Oreochromis niloticus: one gene and its partners. Each later gene encodes a partner of the first gene's protein in a complex. Links are inferred from orthologs where the notes say so. Each region holds a gene or a part of one and is shown in the gene's direction. Other genes may lie near its edges. The genes, in order: phf20a, kansl2, ogt.1 and kansl3.

Evidence for each region.
Region 2: phf20a (region 1) and kansl2 share a complex: the UniProt entries of both Homo sapiens proteins name them as parts of the NSL complex. The link is inferred for Oreochromis niloticus from reciprocal best matches to the Homo sapiens genes PHF20 and KANSL2.
Region 3: phf20a (region 1) and ogt.1 share a complex: the UniProt entries of both Homo sapiens proteins name them as parts of the NSL complex. The link is inferred for Oreochromis niloticus from reciprocal best matches to the Homo sapiens genes PHF20 and OGT.
Region 4: phf20a (region 1) and kansl3 share a complex: the UniProt entries of both Homo sapiens proteins name them as parts of the NSL complex. The link is inferred for Oreochromis niloticus from reciprocal best matches to the Homo sapiens genes PHF20 and KANSL3.

Annotation. Positions count from the first base shown.
Region 1 is NC_031970.2:31,064,968-31,072,399, forward strand, and holds the start of phf20a (PHD finger protein 20), read left to right. Parts: upstream 1-4,417; 5' UTR 4,418-4,592; intron 4,593-5,081; exon of another isoform or gene 5,082-5,221; intron 5,222-5,243; exon of another isoform or gene 5,244-5,702; intron 5,703-6,626; 5' UTR 6,627-6,650; coding exon 6,651-6,733; intron 6,734-7,363; coding exon 7,364-7,432. Other genes in the region: arhgap46a (rho GTPase-activating protein 39), read left to right, coding at 178-372. UniProt on the Homo sapiens protein: Methyllysine-binding protein, component of the MOF histone acetyltransferase protein complex.
Region 2 is NC_031984.2:6,824,439-6,832,138, reverse strand, and holds the start of kansl2 (KAT8 regulatory NSL complex subunit 2), read left to right. Parts: upstream 1-4,699; 5' UTR 4,700-4,831; intron 4,832-6,193; 5' UTR 6,194-6,200; coding exon 6,201-6,451; intron 6,452-6,624; coding exon 6,625-6,797; intron 6,798-7,337; coding exon 7,338-7,452; intron 7,453-7,700. Other genes in the region: ccnt1 (cyclin-T1), read left to right, coding at 105-268, 356-426, 512-1,822. UniProt on the Homo sapiens protein: Non-catalytic component of the NSL histone acetyltransferase complex, a multiprotein complex that mediates histone H4 acetylation at 'Lys-5'- and 'Lys-8' (H4K5ac and H4K8ac) at transcription start sites and promotes transcription initiation.
Region 3 is NC_031966.2:27,677,151-27,684,756, forward strand, and holds the start of ogt.1 (UDP-N-acetylglucosamine--peptide N-acetylglucosaminyltransferase 110 kDa subunit), read left to right. Parts: upstream 1-4,588; 5' UTR 4,589-4,898; coding exon 4,899-4,935; intron 4,936-6,293; coding exon 6,294-6,474; intron 6,475-7,174; coding exon 7,175-7,418; intron 7,419-7,537; coding exon 7,538-7,606. UniProt on the Homo sapiens protein: Catalyzes the transfer of a single N-acetylglucosamine from UDP-GlcNAc to a serine or threonine residue in cytoplasmic and nuclear proteins resulting in their modification with a beta-linked N-acetylglucosamine (O-GlcNAc).
Region 4 is NC_031977.2:13,605,903-13,613,879, forward strand, and holds the start of kansl3 (KAT8 regulatory NSL complex subunit 3), read left to right. Parts: upstream 1-4,973; 5' UTR 4,974-5,226; exon of another isoform or gene 5,227-5,233; intron 5,234-5,310; exon of another isoform or gene 5,311-5,333; intron 5,334-6,061; 5' UTR 6,062-6,124; coding exon 6,125-6,336; intron 6,337-6,450; coding exon 6,451-6,621; intron 6,622-6,706; coding exon 6,707-6,797; intron 6,798-7,977. UniProt on the Homo sapiens protein: Non-catalytic component of the NSL histone acetyltransferase complex, a multiprotein complex that mediates histone H4 acetylation at 'Lys-5'- and 'Lys-8' (H4K5ac and H4K8ac) at transcription start sites and promotes transcription initiation.

The DNA of each region.
Region 1 (7,432 bases):
GTGTTGGTTGACTCTTAAAAATCTCATTGATTGATTTATAAAGTAATTATATAATAAAACTGTTGAGCACTTGACCTTTTTAGATGATTTAATATGACTCATGCATAAGTGACATAAAGTTCAGACAGTTCACACACCTGATTGCTTTTCCTCTCCCTCCTTCACTTTTATCTCCAGGTATTCGCTCAGCCATCCAATGTCGCAATTACCAAGATGGATGTGAACAACCTGGCCATGGTGATGGCTCCCAACTGCCTCCGATGCCAGTCCGACGACCCACGGATCATCTTCGAGAACACCCGCAAGGAGATGTCCTTCCTGAGAATGCTCATCGTTCACCTGGACACCAGTTTCATTGAAGGGGTGGTGTAGAGGTTGCAAAGCACAGAGAGTGCACCTCAGGGGCTGATCAGCCCTCAAACGTCTCCAGTTATATATTTAGAAGCATGCAAAAACACTGTCTCTCTGTTCAGACTGCACTGGAAACTGTTGAGGTGACATTAAACTTCTTACAACACAAGGAGTTCGAAAACCGCTTTAGCTGGGACTTTGAGCCCTTGCGCTCTCCTGCTTTCTTACTGAAAGACAAACACACCACCTTAGGATTCACTGATTTTGATACTAAAATCCACAGTGACTGCTTACAAGTGGTTCACTTTAATGACTGTATTTTCTAACCGCTGCATGTGAAGAGGTTTACCTTTATTTCTTATCTAATTGGTAGTATTATAGTTACATGGGACAACTGGGCTGTGCAAAGTACAAAATTAGTTTCAGAAATTCCTTTCTTGCACAAAAAAAACATAAGGCAGCAGTGTTAACGCTCTGCCTTTTTTTTCTTTTTTCTCCTCTCCCCACTCCCCTGGTTGATTTCATTCAAGCGTGTGTGATTGTCAGCGTGTGAACAAAAGGCACAGCCTTCTATTATGTACAGAAAATTGAACATATGAAATGTAAAAGAGATCTTGTAATGGTGTCTTGTTAATAAGCTTGCCTGTGCTGTTTTGAGTAGTCGTACTGATAGCCGGTCTCCTCGTATTTAATTTTACGAGGCATATAAAGCCGCTCCACCGCAATTATTCTGATAGACTACAGAGGCTTCATTTCAAAGCACAAACTAGAGGGATGTGCAGAAAGCTCTTGATAATGAATGGTGGCAATTTTCTAAGCAAATAAACATGGAACTACTTTGATTTTTCCAAATTCAAACGATTGCCGAAGCCAGACGGGAGTGTTAATTCTAATTACAGCTCACGCTGTAACGACGTGAGAGGCTGGTTATTCAACTGATAATACTCTCTCTATTATCTGTAAGATAAATTTCAATTGGAATAGAGTTCTCTTGTGTTTGTGGTCCGTATGTAATGCTTTTTTTTTTTTTTTTGGCTCAGGTCTTACTATAAAACGGGTGTTAGATGTGAGAACTGTACATGGCCTCTCTCTTTCTCTCTCTCACAGACTGAAAATTTGATTAACCTAACACAAGCCTCCTTCACTGAGAATGGAATATTGATTTAACTGTCAAGTGCTATGAGAATGTAAACTGAGCTTATTTGTGACCCTCTTTAAGGCTTTGTCGATGTAAATATTTTACATGTAAAATAGTAGTAACTTCCTGTAAGTGTATTCTAATGGTCTGGGTTATGGGTGAGCTTAACTGTTGCTGTAAAAGAGCAATAAAAAAACTTTTGTGTTGTAATTAACTGATCATTTCTCTGCTGTAACCGCTCATCTTACGAACATAGGAATGATTCAAACCACTTTCCTTGTACATGCGTGTATGTGTTGGCATACTTTCTCATCGTAATAAGGAATGACTGTCCATGAATAAAGATTTGTTCAAAATTACTGTTGGATTCCCTAGTGTGTGTAATTTATTTGTATTTTGATTTTTTTGGTTTGGGGCAGTTTGCCTTTATTCTGGTAATAATAGTTTGGAGAAAAGTATGGAAGAACACCAAGTAACAAAGTAACGAAGTCCTCTGATACCAGGTATGAGGTATGATAAATCACTAATCATTCATTTTCAATCTAATCCTTTACCTGACCATTTTCAGAGGAATGTTTTTGTTTGTTAAGTTGGTTAACAATGTCCCATGAATCATTCACAGGTGTCACAATTGTGTGATAGGCCCCAACCCAGATATTTTCTTGGGCCATTATTAACATGTGGGTGGCTGTGGCTCAGGAGGTAGAGCAGGTTATCTGCTAATCAGGAAGTTGTTGGTTTGATCACTAGGTGCTCCAAGTGTCCTTGGGCGAAATACAAAAGCAGAGTGCGTTCATTGGAGTGTGAAAGCACTTAAATGTGTAAAAAAAATAAATAAAGTGAATGTGTGCTCTTTGAGTCCTCAAGCACAGTAATTTATGAATGGACACATTTATCTAAGCTTCTTCAACTAGGCTACCACAAGCTAAAAACAGATTTAGCTTTGCTAAAGTAACACAAAGACGGCTGTAACGCTCGCAAGAATATAAGAAATGAACCACAGGTCAGACTGCATGGATGGGTCACCCAACCAAACCTTCACACTTGTTTATAGAATTCTTCATTCAACAATTTGCAATGGACCAACTTCTGCATATATCGTCTTGATGCATTCTCAATCATCCAGGAAAGTAAATCTCCAAAAGCTGAATCTGTTCATCTGGACGTAGCGTTTTGTGGGAGAAACGTTTCGTCACTCATCCAAGTGACTTCTTCAGTCTCAGCTGACTGCAGGTGTCCCCAAACCTTATAAACAGTACATTTGCATAATGACTGAAACCAGCCCACTGAAGGAACAATGGGCTGTGAGGTCAGTTCCTTAATCATAGTTATGCAAATTCCCATGACCATTGATCAACAATCACTGACCAAAACCCACTGATCAAAGAACACTGATCAACACTGTTGAATGGTACTCATGGCCATTGATCAGTGGGCTTTAATCAGTGGGTTTTGGTCAGTGATTGTTGATCAAAACCTGCAGTCAGCTGAGACTGAAGAAGTCACTTGGATGAGTGACGAAACGTTTCTCCCACAAAACGCTACGTCCAGATGAACAGATTCAACTTTTGGAGTTCTGCATATATCACACACATACATGACAGTGTGAGTGGATGTTTTCATGCAAGTGGAAACAAATATATCAGTCCTGTTAAGCTTTTTATTCTAAACATAATTTTAGTACATAATACATACATAATTTTTTAGGACCTTGGCTAAAAGAGTTCAGTCTGTGATGAAGGATCATGATGATCATACCAAATAATGACTCAAGCCCATTAGACTTTTACATATTCAGTTTTTGCCTTATATACAGATTTTCTGTTTATGTTTCTTCATTTCAATAAATTACTGCACCTATTTTTATTTTCTAATTGTTTTTTCTTTTGTATATACTCTAAGATTTTATACTAAAATATTTTCTAATGTTAAAATATAAAATGTTGAGTTTTTTATTTGATTTAAGGGATTAAACTATTTTTAACTACTAAAGTATACACTGATACATCAGTTCAATGTAATCATTAGGGATTAAGTTTGTTTTTGGCTTGCATGTTACAAAAGATATTTAATAGCTATATTTAGCAATTTAAAATGTTAATGGATCTAACTCTCAAAAGCAGAAGTAATACGCCTTTATATTTCTCAATCAGCCAATGTTTTTCAGAAAGTAGTTTTAAACAGGGTCCTCTTGCAGTGTGTTACGCAATCACACCCAGAGAATGAGAATCCATTTTTCTTGTTTGTCCTTAGACTCACAAGGGAAAGAGTTAACAATCAGATATACCGGAACCCCCCCCCCCACACACACACACAAACACACTTCTCCACAGTTGTCATTGCCTTCACTGTACATGTTCAAATATTTATTCTTATGTTCATCACTACACAAACTTCACTCTGCTTCATCGGTCATTCTGGTGCAAAGCCCGAGCAACATAAACATTACAGCAAGATAATAGGAGCTCTGGGCTTTGCCTTTGGGACTCGAACAAGTAAAAGAAAAGAGATCCAGGCGAACATACACCGGGGAGACACTCATGTCCCCTGGGCATAGTCAGGGACTGAAAGCATTACTATTCTAAGTTCAAAACAGCAACTTATTTAGGAAACATTAAACACAATTTAACATTATACAAGGAACAGTTGTACTAAAAAGCCATTGAAATTCTGATTTTTTGTGCTTGTATTTATGCTTGTGCCTGTATTTAGACTTTATTACGGATTTGTACAGTATGTGACTTACATTTCTGATTTCAAATACTGTTTTTACATTTTTGTACATTTTCATAGTTATTACAGTTTATAATAGATAAAGTTTGGCAAATTGCAGGTTATTAAATATTTAATGAATATTTATCTATACATACGAAATGAAACAGACTATGAGATGAAACGTCCTATTGATATTCACAAGGGCTTTGGTCCGTTTAATGCGCATGCGCATCGCAGAAGCACACTGCCCGCGCCGGTGGCGAATGCAACGGGGAGAAATTTAACTGCGTGGTCTTGAGCTGACAGGCGGAGCCGGCGGTTCCTGCGCTTTTAATCAGTTACACAGCAGATTATACATCGAACCGGACAAATAGTGACTGGTAAACAGGTAAGAAGCTTGAATATCCACACTTTGCATTCGACAGATTTGAATTCCCAGTAATATCGTGACCGAGGCCCGGTTGGTGGGTGCATCAACAGCGGTATGGTGCCGCATGTCGGCTTTTTGAGTTCAAAACAAACGTGACGAAGTAGGTAATAAAATGTTATACGAGTACATATCGGTTTTGTATTTGTTATATAGCAGGTGTGCTTTCAGGTCCTACGGTCTTTGTTACTCTGTGCTTTGAAATGTCTGTGGCTGTTTAGTTGGAGAAGTTTATACTCGGCATTTCCACGCCGCGCGCACACACAGCCAGAAAAGTATGAAAAAGTAGGCCTTCTGCGAGGCCGCGAACGGCTCTGTGAATGACAGCTGCTCGCCCAATCAAATGTAAGCGTCCCGCCTACACAGCGCTTGTTCGACCAGTGGTGTTTGTCAAAGGGTCTGACGTAGGTGTCAGTTACTTTCGCGCTCCGCCCTCCGGTTATAAAACACTGGACAATAACGCGTCTATAGTGGTAGAAGTGGTCAACAAAAGGAAATCTGGGAAATGTCGAGTCATTTTAGAGTGTTTTTTCTCTTCAGCTTTTCCCTCTTTTATTAAGTTAGAAAATATCGGTTGAACGCTGTTAAAGGTATTGGGTGGGCCGGTGGTAAAATAGTATATGGGGTTCCGTTTTCCTCCGCATATTACAATGCGAAATGTGCTACTCCACACATAGTCTTAGTGGATAATTTTGAGATTAAAGTAATTTTATCACCTGTTTCATGTGCCCTGATTGTGGCATCTCACGTCTCTTGTGCGTCTTCTGTGTCCGTGTCGCTCCCGTCTGTGTAGCTCTCTGCACGCCAATAAACAATCGGTTTGATCTTAAATCGAGTATTTTTGCCGAGCAGACTATTGCTCGCCTCTTAATGTAGCGGGAATACCCTACGTGCAACCATAATGGTCTTTACCATTGTCTCCCATTGTGTCTATACGTGAAATCGACTGACCAAAAAAACACGTGGGCAGGGTAGTGTGAAGATATCCGGTTTGTAGGTTGCGCAGAAATCCGGAGTTACTCCCGACAGTCTCCGCTATGGTGAACCGATTAGGCTCCGTCGTGGACAAAAGTAAGACGCTGTGGTGCATGGTGTGATTCTTTAGTTGTTTAAATAAAAGGCGCCGGCATGTCAGTCTGTCCTGTGTACGTACGCATGACAAAAGAAGCGATGTTATCGGGAGGATTTGGGTCTATTCCTCTGATCGACTCCAATGACCCTCATTATTTTTTATTTTTATTTTTGTTATAGCTGAAATGGTGATCATCAGCGTTATTCTTTATCTGACAACGGCAGTTTAAGCAGAATGTGCTGTTAAATCAATCCCGTGTTAGCTCGGTGCAGAAATGTCTTCCTGCTGTAGTGGTGAATGCCTACAGTGAGCACATTATCTTTGTCATTCTTGAACCTTCTTTCGATGTGTGTGGTTGATAAGGATACACTGAAATCGCACTGTGATAAATTTGATTAAAACCGCTTAGGAGTCTGTGTGAGGACATTTGATTATTTTTATTTTTTTAAAGACTCCTATTCTTTGAGGTAGTGTTTGCTGAACATCTGGTACTGGCTACATATTCACCACCATTTGAGGGGCATGGCTCACCTTAATATATCAGTTTTTAATCTCTGCACACTGTGCCACACCATGTAACAACATTTGTAATCTGTAGCTTGTATAAGCCTACAGTGGTAGTATTTTTCCCTTGCTGGACAGGGTTATTGTTCTGCTGGCACAAAGGGGGTGTCTTACATTGGTATTCAGGTTTAAAGAGTGATTTATTTTTCCAGTCACTTGCTGAAATATTTAGGAAAGACCTCAGGCACACACAGAGGTGACTGCATTATTATCTGTAAAGACCTCGACAGTCGTGTGTGTGTGCACGTGTGTATTGTGTCCCTTGTTCGGCACAATATATGTCTCTTAGTTGCAAAACAGAGGTCATATGAGTGCAGATTCTTTTAATGGTTAATGTGTGTGTGTGTGTGTGCATACAGGAAGGGTGCCTTGATGTGGGCAGTATGAGTAAGACGCCCCCTAACAGAAGAGGGATAACATTTGAGGTGGGAGCTCAGCTTGAGGCTAGAGACAGCCTCAAAAACTGGTGAGTCATGGCCTCACTCATTCCTCTCTCATCCATTTTACTGTTCCCTTCCCTCTCACACCTAAGTTTCCGTTCCTTGTTTGTTTTTGGGCCTTTATTACAGTAACCGTAATGTTTTAAAAATGTTGATGAGTGTTCTCAAGGTGTCCCTTAAGCTCAACTTTGAACTGCATTATTAAGGCTTGTGAAAATCATGTAAAAACATGTTAAATTCTATTTAAAGGAATGATTCCTTTAAATGTGTGATAAGACTACATCATTAGAACACTGCTATTGCAAAGCTAAGTGGGAGCAGCCTTTTAAAATATAAATGTCTTTTATAATAGACGTGCACTCACACGGTTATGTATAAATGCAGTTGATATTGTATACAACAGTTTAGTACTAAAGGTATAATTTAAAAATGAAAACTAACTCCACTACAGTAATGTGTAAATGCCCAGCACACCATCCACTAACTACAGCTGTGCCATGGTTCATTGTTTTTTATGTGTTTACATTTTCAAGCTTGATTTCATTTCTAAAGCCACCCTCATTATATGTTTGAGATAAATGATAAGTGCTCTAAATCACTAGACTTGCCATTCATTCAGCCTTTCTATAAACTAGCCATTGAATTTCTTCCTGTAGGTATGCTGCCAACATTGAGAAGATTGATTATGAAGATGAAAAAGTGTTGATCCATTACCGACAGTGGAG
Region 2 (7,700 bases), on another chromosome or scaffold:
GTTTTCACCAAAGTTTGTGTGTGGTTTGTTAAAGCTCAACACACTGATTTTCTGTTTTCTCTTTCCCTGTTTGCTTTTTTTCTTGGACGTATCATGCCATATAGCCTGCACTTGACAACGTTCTGCCTGCAGTATAGTCCACCTGTTGTAGCCTGTGTGTGCATCCACCTTGCCTGCAAATGGTCCAACTGGGAGATCCCCGTGTCTACAGATGGCAAACACTGGTGGGAGTATGTCGACCCTACAGTTACCCTTGAGCTGCTGGACGGTATGTGCAATAAATGCTCTTTAAGAAAAAAATGTTTAGATAATTAAAGGGCTGATTTGACTTTTTTTTTTTTTCCCCCACTTCCAGAACTTACACACGAGTTCCTGCAAATCCTGGAGAAAACACCCAGCCGACTGAAGCGAATTCGCAACTGGAAGGTACAACACAAATTTACCTGCTCCTTTTTGTTATTAAAAATTCCCGATTCAATGTGGACATTGACTGACTTTTTTCTTCTTCCAGGCTGGCGGACAGACACCAAAAGCCAAGCCAAAAGTCCAGGAGGAGGGTGACCAGAGGGACACCATGATCAGCATGATTTCCATGGCTTCATCAGAGAGTACTGTGGCAGGCCTGATGAGCCTCTCTGCTCCACCTTCTGCCTCCTCTTCCTCATCAGTGGGCGACAAGGACACGAATGCTTCTGGCAGTGCTCAGACTTGGAGTGGAAAAGGTCAAGGTGGATCTGAGCAGCAGTCACAGCAACCACAGCAGCAGCCTAACCATGAGGTCCACGCCCCAGCTAAGGTGTCGCTGAGTGAGTACCGTGCCAAGAATGCTGACGTCCTGGCTGCCCAAAAGAGAAAGTTGGAGAACATGGAGGCCAGCGTAAAGAGAGATTATGCCAATGCAGCTCAGGCCCTCATTGGCCAGCAACAGAGGAAGGAGAAGCAGCAGCATCACCATCATCCACCCAGCGCTTCCTCTGACATGTCCAACCCATCACCCATTATTCTTAAAATCCCCTTGGAGAAGGAGAGGCATGATTCTCTAAAAATGCGCTTCCCAGTTGCTGGAGGATCAGGAGGAAGCAGTGGACATAGCAGCAGTGGTCGAGGCCAGGATCCAGACATCAAAGTCAAAATCCGAGTGCCTGACAAGCAGAGGGGGACTTCAGGAGAGGATGGCAAAAGCAGGGACAAGCACAGGGAGCGTTCTAACCACCACCACCATTATCATCACTCTCACCACCACCATTCCTCTTCCAGTAGTGCCTCACTTTCTTCTTCACACAAACATTCATCAAGTTCCAGCGGCACGCTGGGAAGCAGCAAAAAAGTACCAAGTGACTCCTCTAGAACAAGCTCCTCATCCTCGTCCTCATCCTCATCTGCCTCACGCAAGAGGACACACTCCCAGGATCCTTCAGCGGGATCTCACCCACCCTCCAAAGTGAGCAAGTCTAGGAATCCCTACCAGTTACCTCCCCTGTCTTCCTCCTCCGGACAAATTTTGGGGCATGGTTCTGACATTCTTCCATCTCTGGGCCTCCCCCACCACCAAGGAAGCTATTCGCATTCCAAAAGCGACAAAACTGACACTAATGGTCACAGTGCAGCTGGCGGAGCCCAGTCCAACGAGTACCAGGACACTTTTGAGATGCTAAACTCACTGCTGAGTGCACAGGGTGTGCAGCCGTCCCAGCAGTCTATGTTTGACTACAGATCTCAGTATGGTGATTATCGGTACTCGAGCAGCTCCAGAGGAAACAACCCTAGGCCCCCTCCCCTGCCCACGGAGCCGCCTCCCCCACTGCCGCCTTTGCCCAAATAAGTTTCTAATCAGGAAACCACATTATGTACATTTTACTTGACATCTTGATCATCTTGTTACATAAAGTGTTGTATGATATTTTCCAGCCACCCAACATTTTATAGTCTTCAGTGTGACAGCAGAGAAATGTACTGGGGGTAACAAAGGATTTTATGGCGTACTCGTGGGGCAATAATGGGACTTGCAAAATGTGAGACAAAAAGAATTATGGGAAAGTGTAGATAGTGTTTTGTTTTTTCTTTTTGAAAAATTCAAATGATATGTGACAAGAAGACGGGAATTAGAGGATGTCAATGTGTTTGGAAAAATTTCCATGACATACCTGGTTGGTCTTCTAAATGATTCTTTTTATAATGTTTTTATAGGGTGTTATTTATTGATCAAATGATTTTAAAAAAGAAAAAAGGTCCCCTTTTTCTACCTTTTTGTAGGGTTAAACCTCTGTTCTTTTGGAACAGATGGTCATTTCTTTAAGACTGTACAGCCTAGTTAGAGTGCATGTCTCCAAAGCCATCTTTTCGATATATTTTTTACTTTATTTTATTTTTTCCTTTTTTATTTTTTTTTGTGAGCCATAAAAATGGCTTCATCCCTTATGTATATGTTATATTTGCTGTGCTATTTGGTGATTTGAGGAAAAAAAAATGTAAAAAAAATGTTTAAAACAAACATTGGAACCTTTATATTTGCAAATTTGCAAAAAAAAAAAAAGGATGTAAATTAGGAAAAGCTTATACTTTTCACTTTAAGTTTTTATGTCTTGCAGTCATTGTTTTAAATGGTTGTAAAATATTCATATTTGGTTCTTGAATGGATACACTAAGTTCATAGCAAGAACATTCATCTGTTCACAAACGGTTGAAACATCTGTGCGCTTTGGTCACAATGAAGGAAATGCCAACAAAAAGAGCATCTGTCTAGACTATTTCTCTTTCCTTATTGTGTTTCCTCAGGAGTTCATTTTTTTAGGGTGATCACAGGTAAATGCAAAGACAAAGAAATAAGCATCATATATGGAAATGTATAATTTTCAGAAGACAAGAAATTATGTCAGGAAAAACTTTTTCCCAGATTTGCTAGACCCTACTAAGCACAGTATACAGAGTTTTAACATCGTATAAAAGTTCATAGCTCATCTGTTTATATCTAATTGTGGGGATGTTTTAAAAGTGTAAACCCTAGTGTAGCTGTCACTTCACTCTGGTCTGATTTAATCATGTTAAACTTGTCTTTCGATTGCATTCCTCTAAACTAAATTGGTGGATATTTAACGTTGGTTTGTTTTATTATCTGCCCACATGCCATCATTCATCATAAAAACATGTTTGCATGTTTTCTGTGGTTGTACAGAATCATATGTGACCAGCAGGTTATTTATATACCTCCACTTCTTGAGCATGAAGGCCAATACCCAGATTTTGTTGGCAAGATAAGCAGGTTATTGCCTATTCATAAAACTTTTAATTGTTTAGGATTAGTGCTCTTATTTTACAGTAATGTAGCACAGCAAATCAGCCGTCCAGCTGTATATTTTACCCCCTTCATATATTTGAAAATGTGCTTGAAAAGAGAAGCTTCTTGCTCATGCAGCAGAGGTTTTATTATTTTTGGTTGTAACAGGGAAACAGTAAATGCACTGAATATTTATCTCAGTAGGTTTGCCTACAATGCAATTGACAAAGTGTTACGTGTATAATGGTTAGACTAATAGATTTTCTGGTGTGAAATTGCCACTGTTTTTGAAACATTTTGTTTAATCTGGGCAAAGCTTCCATTTTAAGTATTACCATTTTGTTGTGAACAAGCCACAAAAAGGACACATTTCATATTAAAACCCATATGTAAGAAAAAACGGACGACACTCATGCAACCTAACAATGCAAAAATCATATAGCTACAATAAATTTCATGTGTTTTCATGTCTTGGTGTTTTCAGTGACACTCAGGTCTGAAAAAGAAAAAGTTTTGAGATTTTTTTTTCCAGTTTAAAATATGTGAACACTGTTCTTTTTTGATATAATGTGGTTGCTTTATTCTCAAAGTCAATAAAAATATTTTAAGAAAGTGCTTCTTTTTGGCTCATCAATAACATTGCATTTTATAGGTGAACATCAAACTCTGCAAAAATATTGTTAATGTTAATCTATGCCAGTGATGTCAAATGTGGTCTAGGAGCTTGATCTGCCCTGAAAGAAAATCCAGTTTTACCCATTATATTTCGCAAAAAATTATGTTTGAGGGGTAATACAGGCATTGTAGAGCAACTGATGAAATTGCACTTACTCTACTTGATATATCATCATTTTGTAAATGCATGGTGTGTTAAAGTTTTACATTTGAATGTTTTCGAAATATACTTTTCTTTTCTTCTATTTTTAAAAGATATGGGATATTATCCAGTGGTATTACAAGTGTAGCCCTCTTGAGGTCAAGTTGTGCTCTAAAGCAGCGGTCCCCAACCCCCGGGCCTCGGACCGGTACCGGTCCGTGAGTCGTTTGGTACCGGGCCACGAGAGTTGAGGCTCGGGTGTGAAATGTATTGTTTTCAGGGTTTTTATCGGTTTTCAGCGTTATTTTGTTATCGTTTTTATCGTTAACTCGGTTTTCCTGGGTCTTTTCACGTATGTTATGAATAAATCTTCTTTTTTTCGGTACCGGTACTAGTTTTATTTTGTTGTATTTATCCGTGACACCTTAAAGGCCGGTCCGTGAAAATATTGTCGGGCATAAACCGGTCCGTGGCGCAAAAAAGGTTGGGGACCGCTGCTCTAAAGAGTTCGAGACCCTGCTCTATGATAAAAGTGTAAATGGATTGGGTGGATGACACTTTGAATGGCAACTGGATAGGCCAATGGGCTACCTCACTCCGGCGCACTGGCTAATCGGATCTTTAGGTGGGCGGGGTTACTTATTGTAAGCGGCGGCTGTGGCAGTTAACAGGGAATGCAGGAAAATCGACGTAACAGTGTTCTTCGGGAGACCACGCTAGCTCGGATGTCCGAGACAAAGGTAGGCGGCCGCAAATAGAAATTAGCGATATGTTCATGTTCTGGCATACAATCACGTTGGCGTTATGGAGGAATACGGCAGTTTTTTGGCACCGACCTGCTATCCTCGCTGCAAAATGAGAAAATTAGCATTTAGCTGCCGTTAGCAGCGATTGATCAAAGATGGCGACTGCCGTCTTAACTGTTAAAGTGACGCAGTAAGGAGAGGCGGGCTGAAGCTCGGTGTGGCGCCCGGTTAGAGTTTATCCATTAACGCAGAGAGGAGTTTGTCTCCGCGATTTATATCTGAATTAAAAGAAAAAGCCGTTCTCTCTTACATTAATGCGGCCTTTATTACTCTGTATTACTTATTACAATTGCCTTTAGGTCGTATGCGTAATATTTATAAGCTTTTACTCAAGTTAATAACGACCAACTGACATCGCCCAATTAAACGTCAGTAAACCAATAACATGAAAACATTGTTTTATTTTTATACAGCTTCATTTAAATTTAAGTACTCATAGTGATTCGGTCTATGACACCTTATGTGCATATTTTCTATATATTTTTTTTCTATTTTGGTTAAATTTGGGATCAAAAGGCGAAAAACCACGAGTATCTATCCTGGCCATTTAAGTACAGTGTAATTGTTCAGAAAACCAGTTTAAAGCTTTCTGACACGGTATGTTATCCTGCTGGAAGCCGCCATCATGAGTGTTCTGGTCATAAAGGGTTGAACATTGTCAGAATCGGGTATGCTGTGGGATTTTAACAAAGTGTGCGTAGAACGACCATTACACCGCCACCACCAGCCTGAACTGGTGATACACCATAGGATGGAGCTTCATGTTGTTTACATCAGATCCTGGCCTTTCAATATATATTAAATTGACCAGACATTGCTTTTCCAATCCCCTCCTGCTTGCTTTAGCTTACAGGAGTATCATCATCCAGTCTTCTGCTGCTGTAGCCCATCTGGTTTAAGATTTGACATGCTGTGGTCTTCTGCATACCTTGATTAAACAAGTGGTTATCTGAGTTTCTGTTGAGTTCCTATCGGCTCAGTGCAGTCTAGCCATCCTCTTCTAATTTCTTTCTATTGACATGTTGCTGCTCACTGGACATTTTCTCTTTTTCATACTGTTCTCTATAAACCCTAGAGTTGGATCTGTGTGATCCATCTTTGATCAGCAGTTTCTGAAATACCAGCCTGTTGGTCACCAAAAATAGTAGTTTGAATAAAAATACATACCAACATTATTCCAACATTCAAACAAATGTTTTTATAGGTATTCTTGCAGTTATTCATGCATGCAGCCATACAAACATTTGGTGTGAACAGGAAAAATGTATTTATTTTTGTTATTAAATTTACACGCAGGCTTGAAATGAACAGGATACGAATCCACGTTTTGCCCTCAAGTCGGAACCGGGTGACCCAGACACCCCGACCTCAGGAGCCACAGGCTTGCTCCTTCACCCAGCGGCCCTGCTCTCAGCCACGACTTGAAGGCTTGGACTTCTGCATCAAACACATCTTGGAGGACAAAAATGCGCCTTACAAACAGTGCAGCTACGTCTCTGCCAAGAACGGGAAGCGGTGTCCCAATGCCGCACCAAAGGCAGAGAGGAAAGACGGGTGGGTGGAAGGTCCAAATCAGCCATTAACAATCGTTAAGAAGAAATTAAATCTCATCATTATCTGCTGTGAATCTCATTAATGGGAACTTAGTCCCAAGAGAAGGGGGAATGTAAATAAACTCATCAGTACCACGCAGCCTCCTAATTTCAATTTGAATGTCTGTTCTGTAGAGTGACCTTCTGTGCAGAGCACGCTCGCAGGAATGCCATGGCTCTTCGAGCTCAAATGAGAAAGGCGTCTTCTGGTCCGTCACCAGAGGCCCTGCTGTCTCAACTTAGTGGGTACAGCCGAGCAGAGTCACACAGCCTTGATGGAGGACGCTCTGAAGCCAGCCGCATTCTAGGTAATGGCCACTTTTTGACTTGGAAATAGTAATTTGGGTGCATGTGGGTTAAGCTGATGTAGTTGTACAGACTGTTTGTTGTTTTATTAGTTTTATTGGTTGGGTTATTTGGTACACTTGTGGAAAGATTAAAAAAGTTTATAGCTCATTAGTTGTTCTTTAAATGTTGTAAAATGCTGATTTATTTCCTGTTGTACGAATACACTAAGTTCAAACTAAGGACATCCATCTCTTTGCAAACGTCTGTAATGGTCACAGTGAAAGAGTTATTTTGTTTTGTTAGATTTTTTTTCCTTGTCATTTAATTCCCGTCATAGCTAAATGTCAAGAAAAAGTAATGAACATTATCTATGAAAATGTATCATTTTTAGCAGTGCCTATTACCAGACAAGTTGTATTTAAATTGTAGCAAGAGAAATAACTAGCATCAATGATGTTAAGAGTGTCAGAGGACTCTTAAACGCACACGTTTGTGTGGGTGATGTTAAACATGACCTAAAGTGTCAGATAAAAATACCACTAATTCCTCCCTCTTGCTAGATGAGGACAGTCTGAGTGAGGAAGAGCAGGGGCCGTTGGTATTGGACCAGACGTGGAGAGGAGACCCAGACAGCGAGGCTGACAGCATCGATAGTGATCACGAGGATCCTCTGAAGTAAGCTCTTAAGATTTTCTTCTCAACTCACATTGTGTAGTTATGTAGTTTGAATAAGAATCTGTAGTTCAAGATAGAAGGCTTAGGCCATGTCCACACTTATACGTTTTTGCTTGAAAATGCGTCTTTTTCTCTCCGTTTTGGCCTTCCGTCCACACTGAGACGGCATTTTTGGTTTGAAAACACTCTCCAAAGTGGATAAATTTGAAAACACCGTATTCGCGTTGCAGTGTGGACAGCGAAAATGG
Region 3 (7,606 bases), on another chromosome or scaffold:
TGACTCCTGGTCGCTTCCTGGGTGAGGTGTTTCAGCCATGTCCCACTAGAAGGAGGCCCCAGGGCAGGACACATTGGAGAGATTACATCTCTCTGCTGGTCTGGGTACACCTCGATGGTCCCCTGGATAAGCTAGAGGAGATGACAAGGGAGAGAGAAGTCTGGGTGTTTTGCTTAACTGCTGTCCATGAGCCAGCTGGATAAACAGAAGAAGATGGATGGATGGATGGATGTTTTCTTATTAGCAATCTTGTGAAGCCATTTGGTTTTTCCCTGATATTTGTGTTCTGTGTGAATTCAGGACTTCTGTCTGGATCTCTTTCCTTTCTTGCTCGTTGTAGTTTGTAATCAAAGGCAAGTTTAGCAGATGCAGATGGGACATTTATTTGCCTAGATGCAGATGATTGGTTTTTTGGGGGGGGTTTTTTTGCAGCTTGCTCATTATAGTCAGAATGTTCCTCATAAAATGTAATCATCTTAAAGTAAAATTCAACTTCTTTGTGAACTAACACTTATCGTCAGTGTAAATAGAATATATGAGTTTTGAATTACAATGCCTCAACAACGCTCTTCTTCTTTCAGCTGCTCCCTTTAGGGTTCCCCACAACTGATCCTCTGCATCAGTCTCATCCTATCCCCAGCATTCTCCTTTGACATACCAGCCCTCTGCATACGCTCCTTCACTACATCCATGAATCCTCTCTATATTCTTCGCCTTTTCCTCCTGCCTGGTGCCATCCTTTGTTCACTTTAACCACAATCTCACCTCTGCAAATCCCAACTGTCTCAACTTCGTCTCTCTACTCTATCTTTGCCATCTCAACCATATAAGCCAGCTCTCCTTCCACTTACCAGCCATGTCCCCTGTATTTAAAGTCCCTAGTCTAACCTCTACACACCTGTCTTCATTTTTCATTTTATGGCAAACACCATTCCTCCTGATTTATCCAGGATTGGGACTGACATTAGCCGTATACTTGCTTGCAGCTCCCCTGTGGCTGGGTTAGTGCCTCAACAAGGTTACAGCCATAAAAATCAAAAGGATCCATTAATGTGAAACTGTAGACAGGTTCTGAAATACTTGATGTTCAGAATTGGAAAGAGCAGAGGAATGTGAAAATTACTAATTACAGAACAACATGTGTAGAGTGAGCTCATGTTCTGCAGACCCAGGATTTCATAGTGCTCTTTTTTATATGGTATCAATAATAATGCTCCTCTGTTTTAAAGGGAGAAGAGCTAAAAAAGCTTGTTTCGGTTTGTGGATGAGATGAAAGGCTCCACAATTCCTCTGATCTTGAACTGGATAAGTGTTTATCAAATGGATGCAAAGCTAAAGTAGTGGTGACCAAGAATAAAAATATAGAGTGGAAATGAGCATAATACGTACCCGTTTAGGTACGAATGACTGAATGCAACAAAAATATTCAACAAATAAACAAATAACCCCCGAGTAAAGCATTCCAAAACACTGCTAATAATGTGGGTCATCAGCTTGCACTGGATCTTATCCGAAAATAAATGGGCTGAAATAATTTAGGCCACTCATTTGGTGGCAGAATTTTCTGGGCTGGTATTTTAGCAGCACAACGGACTCCAAATATCTCCCAGCTTTGCTGTGATTTTGATATCGCCATATCCAAATTGACGTGTGATCGGACCCCTTGCTCTCGGACGCTTCCTAAAATAGCTTGTGTGAAAGCAGGGTCTGTTGTGCGGAGCTGTCACTGACCCTTTCGGCAGGGGAAGATGCGTTCACACTGACTGCCTTCCTTGTGACCGTAGCCTGCACAAAGATAAAGCATGTCACATTCAATCGCCATAGACACACGGTACCCATGACATCATCCTGTGCACAAGAGGCCGACGAAGCGGTGTGAAGAGTGAGAGCAAAGCAGAGGAACGTGAAGAAGAGCACACAAACCAGGCGCCCTGTGCATGCTTTGAGCACACAGAGCAAAACCAACATGGGCAGTGATGTCAGCTGCTTTCCCATAGAGAGGCTATGGGAAAAAACTGGGGTGCAGCCCCCCTTTTTAACATCTTCTAGCATAAATGGCATATTAATCCCTCACATTTAATTGGAAAAGGTAACATTAAATATGTCACTCAAAGAGTTGTTGTACATAACCACTTAGTTTGAATACAAAACAGTCACTAAATTCTGATGCTGGTTGATGTAAAGCTTTAAAACCATAGAAAGGATTCTTGCAGTTTTGTGAAAAAAGGAAGAACATCTTAGTAGTACATTACATCACATTTCCAACTACAGACACATGTTGCAGAAATAAAAAGATCTAATGCACAGTGTCTTAGGCCAGTCTGCAAGGCTCCGGATCTGAATCTAAGAAATGGGTTTACAAAGGTTGCCCTCTGTTGGTGATTATGAATCCTGCAGAATAGTTGCACCAAAAAGCTGCATACCGTGCAGCTTGTACACCCAAGCTGACTGCCTGTGCTGACAAAGGTTTTTGAAAACCAATTTCTATCTTAATTAATTCAGAATTTATGCTAAAGCTACACCTATTGTGTTGGGGAGTCATGCAGGTATTGAAATTAGAAATAGATGGAACGAAAAACAACAAAAAACCCTGTACACCCCCACCCCTCTTTGTCCCACAATGAAACAATCCCAAACATTAAAGAAATTATATGGCTTAACATTGTCCCTAACAAATATCTGGAATATGTGGAAATTATTTTCCATTCCTTAAATTTTTCTACACTTTCAGCTGATCTGCTCATTAAAGTATGCACAGTTGTAAAGTGTAAAGTATTTTCCCCCCTTCCTGATTCCTTAGGTTTTTGCATATTTCTCACAATCACATGTTTCAGATCATCAAACAAATTTTAATATCAGGCAAAGATAACCTGGGTAAATAGAAAGAAAGAAATTTATTAGGGGAAAAGTTATCTACCTTCCTCCCCATGATGAACTAACTGTGATTAACCACGTTTATCAAAAATAGTAAGGTCAGTTTCTCCTGCCACACCCAGGCCTGATTAATGGCCTGTCGAACCAAGAACTCACTTAATAGAACCTATCGGAGAAGTGAAGTTTGCTAAAAGATCTCAAAAAGTAACGCATCATGGAACGATCTAAAGAAACTCGAGAACAGATAAGGAACAGTCACTGACATTTATCAGTCTGGAAAGGTTTGGAAAGCGATTTCTAAGGTAATGAGACTCCAGTGACTCACAGTGAGAGCCATTATCCACAAATAGAGAAAAAAATGGAACAGAGGTGAACCTTTGCAGGAGTTGCCGGCCTACCAAAATTACTCCAAGAGAGCAACGATGACTCAGCCAGGACGTCACAAAAAACCCCAAATCAACATTAAAGAACCGCTTCACACGTCTCAGTTAAGGTCAGAGTTTATGATTAAAAAATAAGAAAGAGAGCTGGGAGAGTTCAAGGAGAAAACCATCGCTGACCAAAAAGAACACAAAGACTCGTCTAACAAAACATCTTGATCATATATTTAGGAATTTAAGGAAAATAGTCTTTGGACTGACAAGACAAAAGCTGAACATTTGGGAACGTTTGAGTCCCGTTATATCTAGCATAAAACTAACACAGTATTTGGTCAAATGGAGCATCATACCAGCAGTCAAATACTGTGGTGGTAGTGTGATGGTCTGAGGCTGCTTTGCTGCTCCAGGACAGGGACGACTTACCGTAATTGATGGAACTTTGAATTCTGCTCTCTACCAGAAAATCCTGAAGGAAAATGTCTGGCTAGCACTTCATGTCCTGAAGCCCAAGCCTGTTTGGATTATGAGTGGGACAATGATACAAAACACACCAAGTCCACTTCTAAATGACTTAAAAAATAAGAAAAACAAAAACAGAAGCAAAATAAAGATATTTTAGTGGCTTAGTCAAAGTCTGGATTAAAAACAGGTTTCGAGGGCATTTACTTTTTCACAAATTGGGATTTATTTACTAAAATAAATCATAATTTATCTCATTAATCTGTGTCTAATATTAAGCTTTGCTTGATGATCTGAATGATCTGTGACAACTTGTTCACAGTACTGTATAATTGCATAATGTAATTCTTGAATTGTATTTTAGGTAACATCACTACCACTTCAGTTTTTGCGCCTCTTTTATCTACATAGCACAGCCGCGTAGATCTTCAGCTGTACATTGCGTAATTTAAACAGAATCCACCCACTGTTATATAATGTCAGTGTCTCACATTATTCTCCTTCCGTGTTACCGCCAATCTGCACGCCAGACTCGTGCGGCTGTGGTAACACGTTACAATCCATAGATGATCTGCCTCGTGAATCTTACAACCGGTTCTCTGCTGGCTTTTTCCATTTGCACTCCGTCTCACTGCACCAATGTGTTCTTCCGCGCAGCATCGTTCCTAATGTGTTTTTTAAACTTTAGTAAACAAAGAAATAACACGCGATAAATGAAGAAAAATGTAATCACAAATCTTCTGAAATATTTTTATATCGCTAAGTGCGATATTTATTACAGTTTTACACACGTGTCTCGGTAACGGCGGTGAACGGATCTAGTTTATCTCAAAAACGAGTTCCACCCATCTCGCCATTTTATGATTCACTGCTGCTTTGTTGGGAAGGGGAAGCTAGCAAGAGCCATTTAACAAACAGCACGTAACATGTTAGCTTAAAAACGACCTCTTAACAGCAAGACAATTGATTGGGTATTAGCCAGCTGATACTAACCACTGCGAGATCTACATTTGTCGCTTTAGGGGGGGGAAAAAAAAAAACATACGTTAGGACATTAGTTTAGCTAAATCTGCATAGCTATTCGGGCAGCGTGTTTGCTGCTTGTCGCAATTTTTTTTTCTCTGAAATTGTTATCTGCTAGAGGACACATTGACGACCACCGTGCAAGACTCGAAGACCGAGGAGATGGCGAGCTCAGTGGGAAACGTGGCCGACAGCACAGGTTTGCTGTTTTTATGCAAGTAATTCTACACAGAAGGCAACAAGGCAAGCTTCAAAGACGGTGTCCTTGTGTAGGTTTTTCCCCCTTAGATGCGATCGAGCTAGTATCTAACAAATAGACCTTAAAAAAAAAAAGAAAATCGGTAAACCATTTTAGCCACGTTTTTATTAAATTTGTCTTTTGTCCAACGTGGAAGAACATGTTAGTAATAGCAACGCGGGCTCAAATTTCTACCTCGCATCGCGACAATAAAAGCGCTAAAGCTAACGTTAGCGTAATTTAGCGGTTAGCACAGGTTTGCGTCGAAGTAGCCGTAAATTGTCTGCTAGTCACACTTTAATGCAGACGAATCAGCGTTCCACGAAGGTGCTTTAGCGGTTTGCTCGGGGTGCACCATTTTTGTTTCATGTTTAAGGGTCGCTGTAAAAGCTAAGTTAGCACAAAGGGGCTTGATGATGTCTTTGAAATTTGTAATCTGGGGGCCTTGCTACTGAAGTTGGCCCCGCATGCCTCACCGCTTAGCACAGATAGCCTTTAGGCTAATGGTAGCATTTATCCCAAAGGTTATCGGCGATACTGATACCAGAATGTTCTGAACCCCGGCATTTACGCGCATTGTGACTGGTGATTTAAGCAATTTAAGCTATACTCTTTCCACAAGTAATGTTACGTAAGTGTCATGAACGCTTGAGCAAACCGGATCTACTGCATTATTAGCCCTGCAATAAAAGTTTAACTGTATGCTGTGGCTTTGTTTTCTCTGCCCCACCTTGGAGTAACTATTTCGTTTTGTTGGAGCAGAGCGTTTTGATGTGTTCACTACCACTGTGAAGTGGTAGTTATAAAACCATAGTTGTATGTAAAACTATTACACAAGGCCAAAAAAAATTAGAAATTGTATTAGAATAAGTTACAATAAAGTAATCTGGTGTTTTGTTGTTGTTGTTTTTTTAAAAGTACATATTTGATATGTGAAATTACTAAACATCCAAAATGTGTTATGGAGGGTTTTTGCCAGAACTTTTCACACCTGTTTCATCCATCTGCCTGCCTGTTTTCCCATCACACATTATTTTCCTCCATTTTTTTTATTTGTTAGACTTTATTGTGAGTCCTACAAACACAATAAAATGTAAAATCCCCAAATGTGTATCATGACCCCCCCCCCCCCCCCCCCCAACCCCAACCTTGTTTTATGTTGAGTTCAAATTGTTAGTCACTCTTCTTAAATAAAAGCATTTGTCTTTTTTTCCTCTAAAAAAAAAAAAAAAATTCTGTTATCATTTGTCTGATTTTAATTTTTTCCATCACCTCTAACGTGTCGTTTTCCCCCTCCTTGGCTTATGTTGGTGCTCCAGAACCAACAAAACGTATGCTTTCCTTCCAAGGGTTGGCTGAGCTGGCGCACCGGGAGTATCAGTCAGGGGATTTTGAGGCAGCTGAGCGCCACTGCATGCAGCTGTGGAGGCAGGAGCCTGATAACACAGGCGTGCTGTTGCTCCTGTCCTCCATCCACTTCCAGTGCCGAAGACTCGACAGGTGAGGTGTTGGGGGGGTGGAAAAGCACACTGGGCATGTGAGCAGTAGCAGAGAAAAATGGGTCGTCTTGGCTTTGAGTGCACACACTGGGGAGTCCTGTGGAGCAGCTGGGCTGTCTTGTGCAAATCCTGTTATGTGGTTTAACTTGGGTTTTGTGCATTTCTGGTGGTGGGAGTGTAACCTTTCTTTTCAGGTGCTTGGGTCTTTCAAGTAACATGATCTAAATGCTTTTTCACTCATTTCAAATCCTTAAATGTGGACAATGCCAGTAGCATTACAGTCTTGTAATGCTGTTGAATTTGGTATTTAACCATAATATAAATGCTAAACTTAACTTGCATGCTTTTGTTGTTGACCCCAAAAACTGTTGGTTAGTAAAAATGTTCCATGACGGCTCACGGGATCAGATTGAACATGGTGATCTTCTTCGCAGTATTTTCATCATAACTTATGTTGGGCTGTACTGCCTGCACGAGAATTAGTTTGCATAGTAGACATTTGAATAAAGAGTTTTGCTCAGGTGCTGTGGCCCATGTTAATGTGTCTTGATATTTGGGATTTTCATCATATTTGACAATGCATCTTAAACTAATTTTCTGTTCTTTAACATCTTGGGCCTTGCTGTTGTTTCTACACAGCAGTTTGAACCAACTGTGTCAGCTCTGGAGTGTAACCGTTTGTGCATAATCTTTCCTTGCAGGTCCGCTCACTTCAGTACCTTGGCCATCAAGCAGAACCCAATGTTGGCTGAGGCCTACTCCAACCTGGGGAATGTGTACAAGGAGCGTGGGCAGCTGCAGGAGGCAATAGAGCATTATCGCCATGCTCTGAGACTCAAGCCAGATTTTATCGATGGGTACATCAACTTGGCTGCAGCTCTGGTGGCCGCAGGAGATATGGAGGGAGCCGTGCAGGCTTATGTCTCCGCATTACAATACAACCCAGTGAGTTAATTTATTTTTTCTAAATTATATGTGCCAATGCCCTATACATGTATTTAGTTAGAATGGCCACAAATCGGCTGTTTATTGAAATAGTAATTTATTTTTTTTTATCTCCACAGGATCTATATTGTGTGCGCAGTGACTTGGGGAATTTGCTTAAAGCCCTCGGGCGTTTGGAAGAGGCCAAG
Region 4 (7,977 bases), on another chromosome or scaffold:
TCCCAGTTAGTTTAGTCACACACATATTAAGCTCTCTGTCTAAGTGTTCAGTGTTTTCATGTTTTAATTACTTCCTGTCTTATTTTGATAGTCCCTCATTGGAAACAAAACATACCTGTAATAGTAAAGCAGTGACAACTCATCATGTGATATCGGAACTGAATATCTATTTACCTTGAAGCAAGAACTAAATCATTTTCCAAAAAATGCTGCCTGACCTTTGAAATTAAACAGAAGGGAGGGGTGGTCTATCCTACTGCCTGTAAATTCCAGTAAGCTTGCATGCAAACTGTGTTTGTTTAAACTTGGCATATCAAGTTATTTCTCCGATTTAAAAGAAATAAAGAAGATCTGAATATTGTCAGAAATGTACAAAACAGTTGTTTTGTACATTTCTGACAGGCTAAAATGATATAAATTATGGAAATAAGCAGCAATTTTATAAGACTTAATGTTTACTGGTAATTAAATGTACAGAAGTAATTACTTAGATGGTGCCTAATCAAACTGCAATGTTTGTTTTCCTCTGAAGAAATACTTGGCTCTGGCTCTGCTGCTGTGCACTCTGCTGTCACTGACAAATAGTGAGTGCATCAACAAAAAATTATAACCTGGTAAGAAAAAAACTGAAATAACACACAGAGATAAACATACACTCACATTTTTTAGTTCAATAGGAACTGTGCCAGAATAATATCTATCTATCTATCAACCCATCGTAAGGATGACAATAACAATTGGCATGCAGTGGGATCTCGATGGAGAGCTAATTGTTGGGACTGTACTTGCACCAGATGTTGCCGTGCATTAGTGTTTACATTAAATTACTGATATTTAAATAGATGGAAAAATCAGTTATATTTGACTTTACATGATGCACTGTTAACTGTGTGTCTTTTGCATTATCACAGGTGTGCCACCCCACAATGGTTCCCTGATGACTGTGTGTCAGTGTTTGACCCAGAGGCATGTGAATATGTAGTGCACAAGAAAGATGACCCAACAATACGGTGTCCAGTTTTTAGTGCAGTATTGAAGTGATTCATTTTTTTATGGTGTTCTGAAAGTCTGAAGATGGGCGTTTCATATAAATGATGCCTTTCATATCGCTTTCGTGCCATTTTTGAGGAAGAAAACATATTCAAAATGCCTGTTAATCGTTTTAGATTCTTGAACAAGAATTCATATGATGCATGTTTGGTGAGTTGCATTGAATGTTAACAGAGCTAAATAAAAAAATGTTGGTCATGGTTCTTCTCATCTAGCGTTGACCACTATCATCTGTCTGGGTTTCTCCTTCACTCACTCATTCACCGACTCTCAGTCACTTTTTCAGCTCAGGCACCTCAACCTTCAGTTCCACAGGCAGCTTGAAAGTCTGAGCCAGAGATCTCGCAATCTGTCACTCACCAAATAACAGACGTGGGAATTATTAAAGGAAAAACACATCATTACTATACTTTGGGAGAATTTTCAAGTACCTTTGCTTTACTAGAGTATTTATTAGTTAATATTTCTGAGTATTAATAGTATTATTATTTATTCTGAAAACTTTTCACTTTTACTCCCTACATTTTTACACAAATATCTCTACTTTCTATTGCTGTATATGTATCTGTATATGATGTGAAGTTATGGGTTTTTTTCTGGTTTAAAGATGAAAGGGCATGGAAACTGGCAATATGTTGTTGAATTCAGCTCTGCAAATCTACTAGAGTTCATGGAAATTATTGCGAGTTGTGATTCTTTTCCCCACGCATAGTCACTAAAACCCCCATCTGCCGAATCCCACTTTAACCCCTGACTATACTCACTTTTCTGTTTAGGTGCGGAGGCAAAGTCACCCTCTACAATTTAGGCAGCATAAAATAGAGGGTTTTTTTTAGTTTTTAGTTTTCTTTGTTTGTGTTCAAGGTGGTTTAATGCATTAGAATTAGAAATTCAATTGAACTAGAGTTCTAATACAATTCTAATATTGTGTTATATTGAATAGCATGAAGTCCTTTGCACAGATGGAAATGCCCAACAAAGAGCTACTTTTAATGTATTATTTTGAGATTTCAGAGCCTGTACTTTTTCAGTTTTACTTGAGTAAGAAGTTGAATCAGTATTTGAGCTCTTACCAGAGCATTTTTTAATTATGTATCTGTACTTCTACTTAAAAAAGAGTGTCTGTATCTTTGCCAACTCAAATCGTGCAGGAATCAGATAATAGTAGACTAAGCTGCTTCACACTTGGTGGGTGTTTTACGGATGCAAAAGAAATTCTAGCATCGAGGGGATGAAGTCGCTTGGAGCAGTAGTTCTCATAACTTGGCTCAGACATAGTTTTGGTGTGTGTGTGTGTGTGTGTGTGTGTGTGTGTGTGTGTGTGTGTGTGTGTGTGTGTGTGTGTGTGTGTGTGTGTGGTGAAGTTTTTAATATTAAAACGTTATTAGAAGAATAGTTAAATTACAACAGAAACTATGTAAAAAAGCTGGTTGTGATGGTCAGAGAGCAAGTAGATGGACACAGTGGTGTCAGCCATTGGTTTTAGACACTGCACACTGATATTATGAAATACTTTTTAGCTTTCTATATTTTAAACGCGATTTCACCTGGACGGGAGGATAGATTAAATTATCAAAATGCAATTATGAACATTACAGTTGCAACACAAAGAAATATTGCTGTGGCAGTTTTTATAAAGGTATGTCACTGCGGCACACTCTCAGCTCCAAATACAGCCAAGCTATAACAGGTTATTGTTAGAAAAGAACAGACATTTAAACGACATGCGACTTCAGTCTTGTAAAATGTTACACATGATTTTAATTGAAAACTGTCATCCCTAGTCAGTCTGCTACCAAAACATATTTTCCTCATTGATTTCCTTCCTTTCTGATTTGTTGGTTTTACCAAATCTTAAACTGAACCCAAACTAATTTTAAAAAAATCACCAGGAGCCTCTTGTTTTTGACAGTTATCCAACCCTTGAGAATACCTTCACAGACACCTTTATTAGTGATATGATCTATGACTTTATTGTATAATCTATGCCTCAAACCCTCCTTTCTGTAACTTAGACTGAATACAATTCATAAAACAGACTTCTTACCCAAAATTAGTGACTGAGACCATAATCTTTATTGAGAAAATTTTTAATGAGGTAAAAAGCAAGGGTCGTTTTCTGTAGACTTCTATAGGCTTATTAGTATTTTTGCAACTTATTGTTCCATTTTGGCTGTTAAAAAGAATGTAGGTTTAATGCACATTCACACTGGCTTCATGGTGGCCATATAGGGGACACTAAAAACATTGGAGTGGCACACCAAAAACAGAATTTTCATTTTTATTATGCTGTTGTCAAAAATAGGTTCCTTGAAAGATATGACAAAAAAAGAGAGACAGAAAAGAATTATATCCATCTGTTCACTTCCACTTATCCTTTTTCAGGGTCACACTATCCCAGCTGTCTTAGGGCAAAAGGCAGGGTACACCTTAGCCAGGTCGCTAGTCTGTCGCAGGGACACAGACAACCATTCGCACTCACATTCACACCTATGGACAATTTAGAGTTTCCAATTAACCTATCCCCACTAACTGCAGGTCTTTGGACTATGGGAGAACCCACACAAACACGGGGGAGAACATGCAAAGTCCACATAGAAAGACCCCTGATGGTGGAACTGAACTCAGGACCTTCTTGCTGTGAGGCAACAACAAGGCTAACCACCTTGCCACCGTGCTGCCCTGTCTAGTTAATTTCCTTCTATTAAAGTTAATATCAGTGAAAACAGGTACATATGAAAACCAAATAATAATAATAATAATCTGTTTTAAGCAGCAAATAACAAGTTAATGTTTCAGCTCATTGCAGGGTGTCTTCCTCTCTTTTGTGCTCACTTTTATTAGAATTATTACCAACATAGGACAGCCTTGCAAGGCTGTGTCTGGTGGCGGATGTGTCTGGAGCAGATATGTAAAGTCCAAAGTGGCCCCAGGGTTAATAGTATTAATAGGAGCATTAAAGCATTATAAAACAACAATGGGTGCAATTTGAAAGCTTACGGTTATTTATAGATTTTTTCCTTCTCCTGTCGCTCTGAAACCGGTTCATTTCTCTTGTATTTAATTAATTGTAGTTTTTACACTGAAACAGTGGCTTTATTATTGGTTTAATGAAAAGCTGTACGGAACAGGATCCGGTGTTACTGTCACTGTCATCATTCACTGATCTGGAGTTCTGAAAGTGAAAGTCGGTTACTAATTTTATTTTTCTTGTTATTTACAGTTTAAAAAAAAATAAGAATTTAGCAAGGGATAGGGGGGCGTGCAGATGGGTGGCAAGGAAATTCCTGAAAGCAAATCGCATCATTACATTACCTCTTTCAATGATGAGGATGTACACATCCTGGACAGGGAGGATCGCTGGTTTGAGCGCGGAGTGAAAAGGGAAAGACCATCTCTGAATCGAGGAGGGGGCCTACGGGGACATCTTTCGCCATCTTACAGTGCTGTGATTGCAGCCATTCCCCAACTCTCTGTGAATAGTACTCATGCCCATTGATCAGTGGTTGTTGATCAATGGTCATGAGAATGTGCATAATCATGATGAAGGAACTGACCTCCCAGCCCATTGTTCATTCAGTGTTAGTTTCAGTCAATATGCAAATGTACTGTTTATAAGACTGGGGAAACCTGCAGTCAGCTGAGACTGAAGAAGTCACTTGGATGAGTGACGAAACTTTGCTCCCACTGAATACGTTATGTCCAGATGAACAGAATCAACCTTTGAAGAATGACATTACCTACGAAAAAAAAAGTCATAGAATATACTGTACATATAATTCTCTTGGAAATGGTACGATTCATTTTTAACAAGTTACAGTTACGCACATTTCATGTCATTAAATCATGTATTTTATTTCTGGGGGGACCGATAATAATCCAGACTTTTATCAATCCAGTCCATATTTTGCGTCATTCTCTCTCTGACGCGCCACGATCAGGGTTGCCAGTTTGGTAGAAACAGCAGGCCTGACTGAGCCGCTTGAATTTAGGGCCTAGAAAGGGAGGGCGCGGAGCCTAACAAGGCAACGAAGCGAACAAAAGGAAGTGGCTTTTACGAGCTAAATGTTTATGTTTCATATAACCTCTTCCATTGCCCGGTAAATACGCCGTTCTTATATTTGCTTTGCTCGAAGCAGGAGCTGAAGCCGTCGCGGCCAACATGGAGTGATCAAAGTAAGAGGTAAAGAGCGGAACACCATTTGCTTAGCTTTTAGCTCGCTATGATTATGCTAGCATGCTAGGTCATTACGCAGCTTTCAGTCGCGGGTGAATTTGCGAAGGTATTTGTGATAAATATTGAACCTATTATACTTAACCCACGTATTAAGTGGGACGTTCGGTTAGTTGCCACACGCGACTCAATATGTTGTTTATAATGGCAAAATAATATCTAGTACATGGTAGAAGCTAATGGGTGGTGCTTACAGAGTATAAACGTGTTAAGCGTCAGTCTGTACCAGGGCTGAACCTGTTTCGCTATTGCTCATTGTGCTGTTTTGTTAGTGATTTTATTGTTGCTTTCTGGGGGGTTTTAGGCTGTTGTTGTTCTTGTTGTTGTTTTTAATCAATAACTTATAAATAAGTTATATTTGGAGCTCAACCCGTTGTCAGTATGCATGAAAACTAGAAGTTGTGTAAGTGCAGACCCTTGAATGTGCTCGCTTCCACAGAGCTGACTGTAGTTCAATTATTCTGTTGTCTTTCTGATATGTCAACACTTAAAGGGTGTTAAAGGCTTTGTTTGGGGCTATTTTCCTACCACAAACTTTATGGTTTTATGATGTAAGAGTTTCAATATTAAAATTGATACAGATCTTTTCACACACACACAGTTTTTCCCCACATATATGTGCTTGGGCGTGTGTCTGTGTTTTCTATGTTTAACAGTATTTCTGTAAAATTAGCAGAACCACTTTATGATCAAGTCATTTTTTGGCAGACAAATGTGATAATATTCTTGGATTGTCTTACATAAAATACAAAAACAATTCTTCCCTTCTTCCCCAAGTTTGTCCTGAATCAGCACCAGTTGTTGAGGTCTTCCCGGGGCCCTTTGGGGCCCAGGAAGAGGATGCATCGTGGTGGAGATAAAGACTTCCAGACCTCAGCTCGAAAGATGGGCACATCCTTGTTGTTCCAGCTCTCAGCCCATGAAAGAGAGTTAGATTTAGTATTTCTGGACCACAGCTATGCCAAACCATGGAATGCCCACCCAGATGCCAGCAGTGCTCGACCCACGAGGACGCTGTTTGTTACCCCACGTCGCCAACCTGAACCCGTTTTGTGAGTTAAAAATGCTCCTATTAGGCTACTTCTCTTTAGCCGTGGTAAAATTAGTCATCTGATGAGCATTTTTAATCACTTGCAGTGATGTGGTATTTTTTTCTTTTTCTGCAGAGATTCAGATTCTGTAATAGATGTGGAAACTGTAACTCCAACACCCGTTCCTCTATATGATAACCACAAAGCCCTTAGTGTGATGAAGGAGTGCGAGCGGCATGTCCTGTTTGCTCGTACAGTTGCTGAGAGTCCCCCGCCCCCTGATGACTGGGAGGAACATGTAAACAAGTAAGCAAACGCCTCAATGCTCCACATGTGCATCATGCAAAGTGATTCACTTACAGTAAATCACTTTGAAATAATTCTGCTTCAGGACTGGATGGACAGTGGCCCAGAACAAATTGTTCAACAAGGTCATTAAAGCTCTGCAAGCGGAAAGACTAGCCCGTCTGGCCAATGAAAATGTAAGTTTTTGTTCCGTTGTTGTTGTTGTTGTTTGTTTTGGGGGGTTTTGTTGTTGTTTTTTAAATCAGATATTCTCAAAAGTGATTCACATCTTCTTTGTTTGACTGTGAGAAAAGATTTAACAGTTGAAATGATATATTATAAATAATATTGCCACTTTGTGACAATATGCTGTTGCCTAATATCTAAATATAGATATACTCAGCTGATGCAATAATAGAATATGTGCCTGCATCAGTAAATTAAGAACATTTTTAAATGCAGAATCTGTTCTGTTTGTGAAACCCATAAACAAACACACTTGTATATGAATGTCTGATTTAATTGTCTGTTCGGTTTTACATATGTGGCTGCAGCTAAGTTATGAGGATAAGTTACTGCTGTTTGAGATTTGCAAAAGATGCATTCAAGCCCAAGGGGAGTTGCATGTTTATCCATCTGCTGAGATCTGTAATGCATTGTAGTTCATCACAAAAAGTTAGTTTGTAGTGAAGCACCCCCTGTTTGACTTGCAGAACAGACTTGCTGCAGTTATTCTCCCCAAGATTAGTTAACACAATCCCCCCCTTTCATTCTTATTTTTGGGGTTCATTTTAGTTTTTCTTTGAGGGCTTCAAGTGTCTAAAAGTGTTGTGCAGCCTGGCTCTGGCCCTTGGGTCATGTTTTGCCTGTGTGTGATGCAGGTTTTGAGTCACTAGATCTGCCCAGAGAATTGCATACCCTGCTCCTTTGCATACCCTGCACTTTGGTTGATACATTTAATAAACAAAAATGAAGAAAGCTACTGGGTGATGTACCAGGGCTCTAGAGTGCAACCAATTTGGTCGCAAATGCGACCAAAAAATTTGGTCACACCGGTGCGACCAAATATTTTCGGGTAACAAAAAAAAAAAAATCTCTGCAACTCTCCGTGTGGTCAACAACAGACACACATTATGCCCCTATCGTGGACTAAACCAATCAGAGATAGTCAGGGGCGGGACCTCTCTGATTGGCCGTGGTCCAGTTGAAAGTGCAGGTGGAAGAGAGAGGTGAGTAGCTTGAATAAAGCCATATCAATTCATTAACGGATTCCACACAAAGACGTAAACACAGAGCGGACCCGACGCATCAGAATCAGCTTTGTCTTTCTCGGCTTTCTCACCCCACGGCCCGAACACGGACACACTGCCGGAGCTT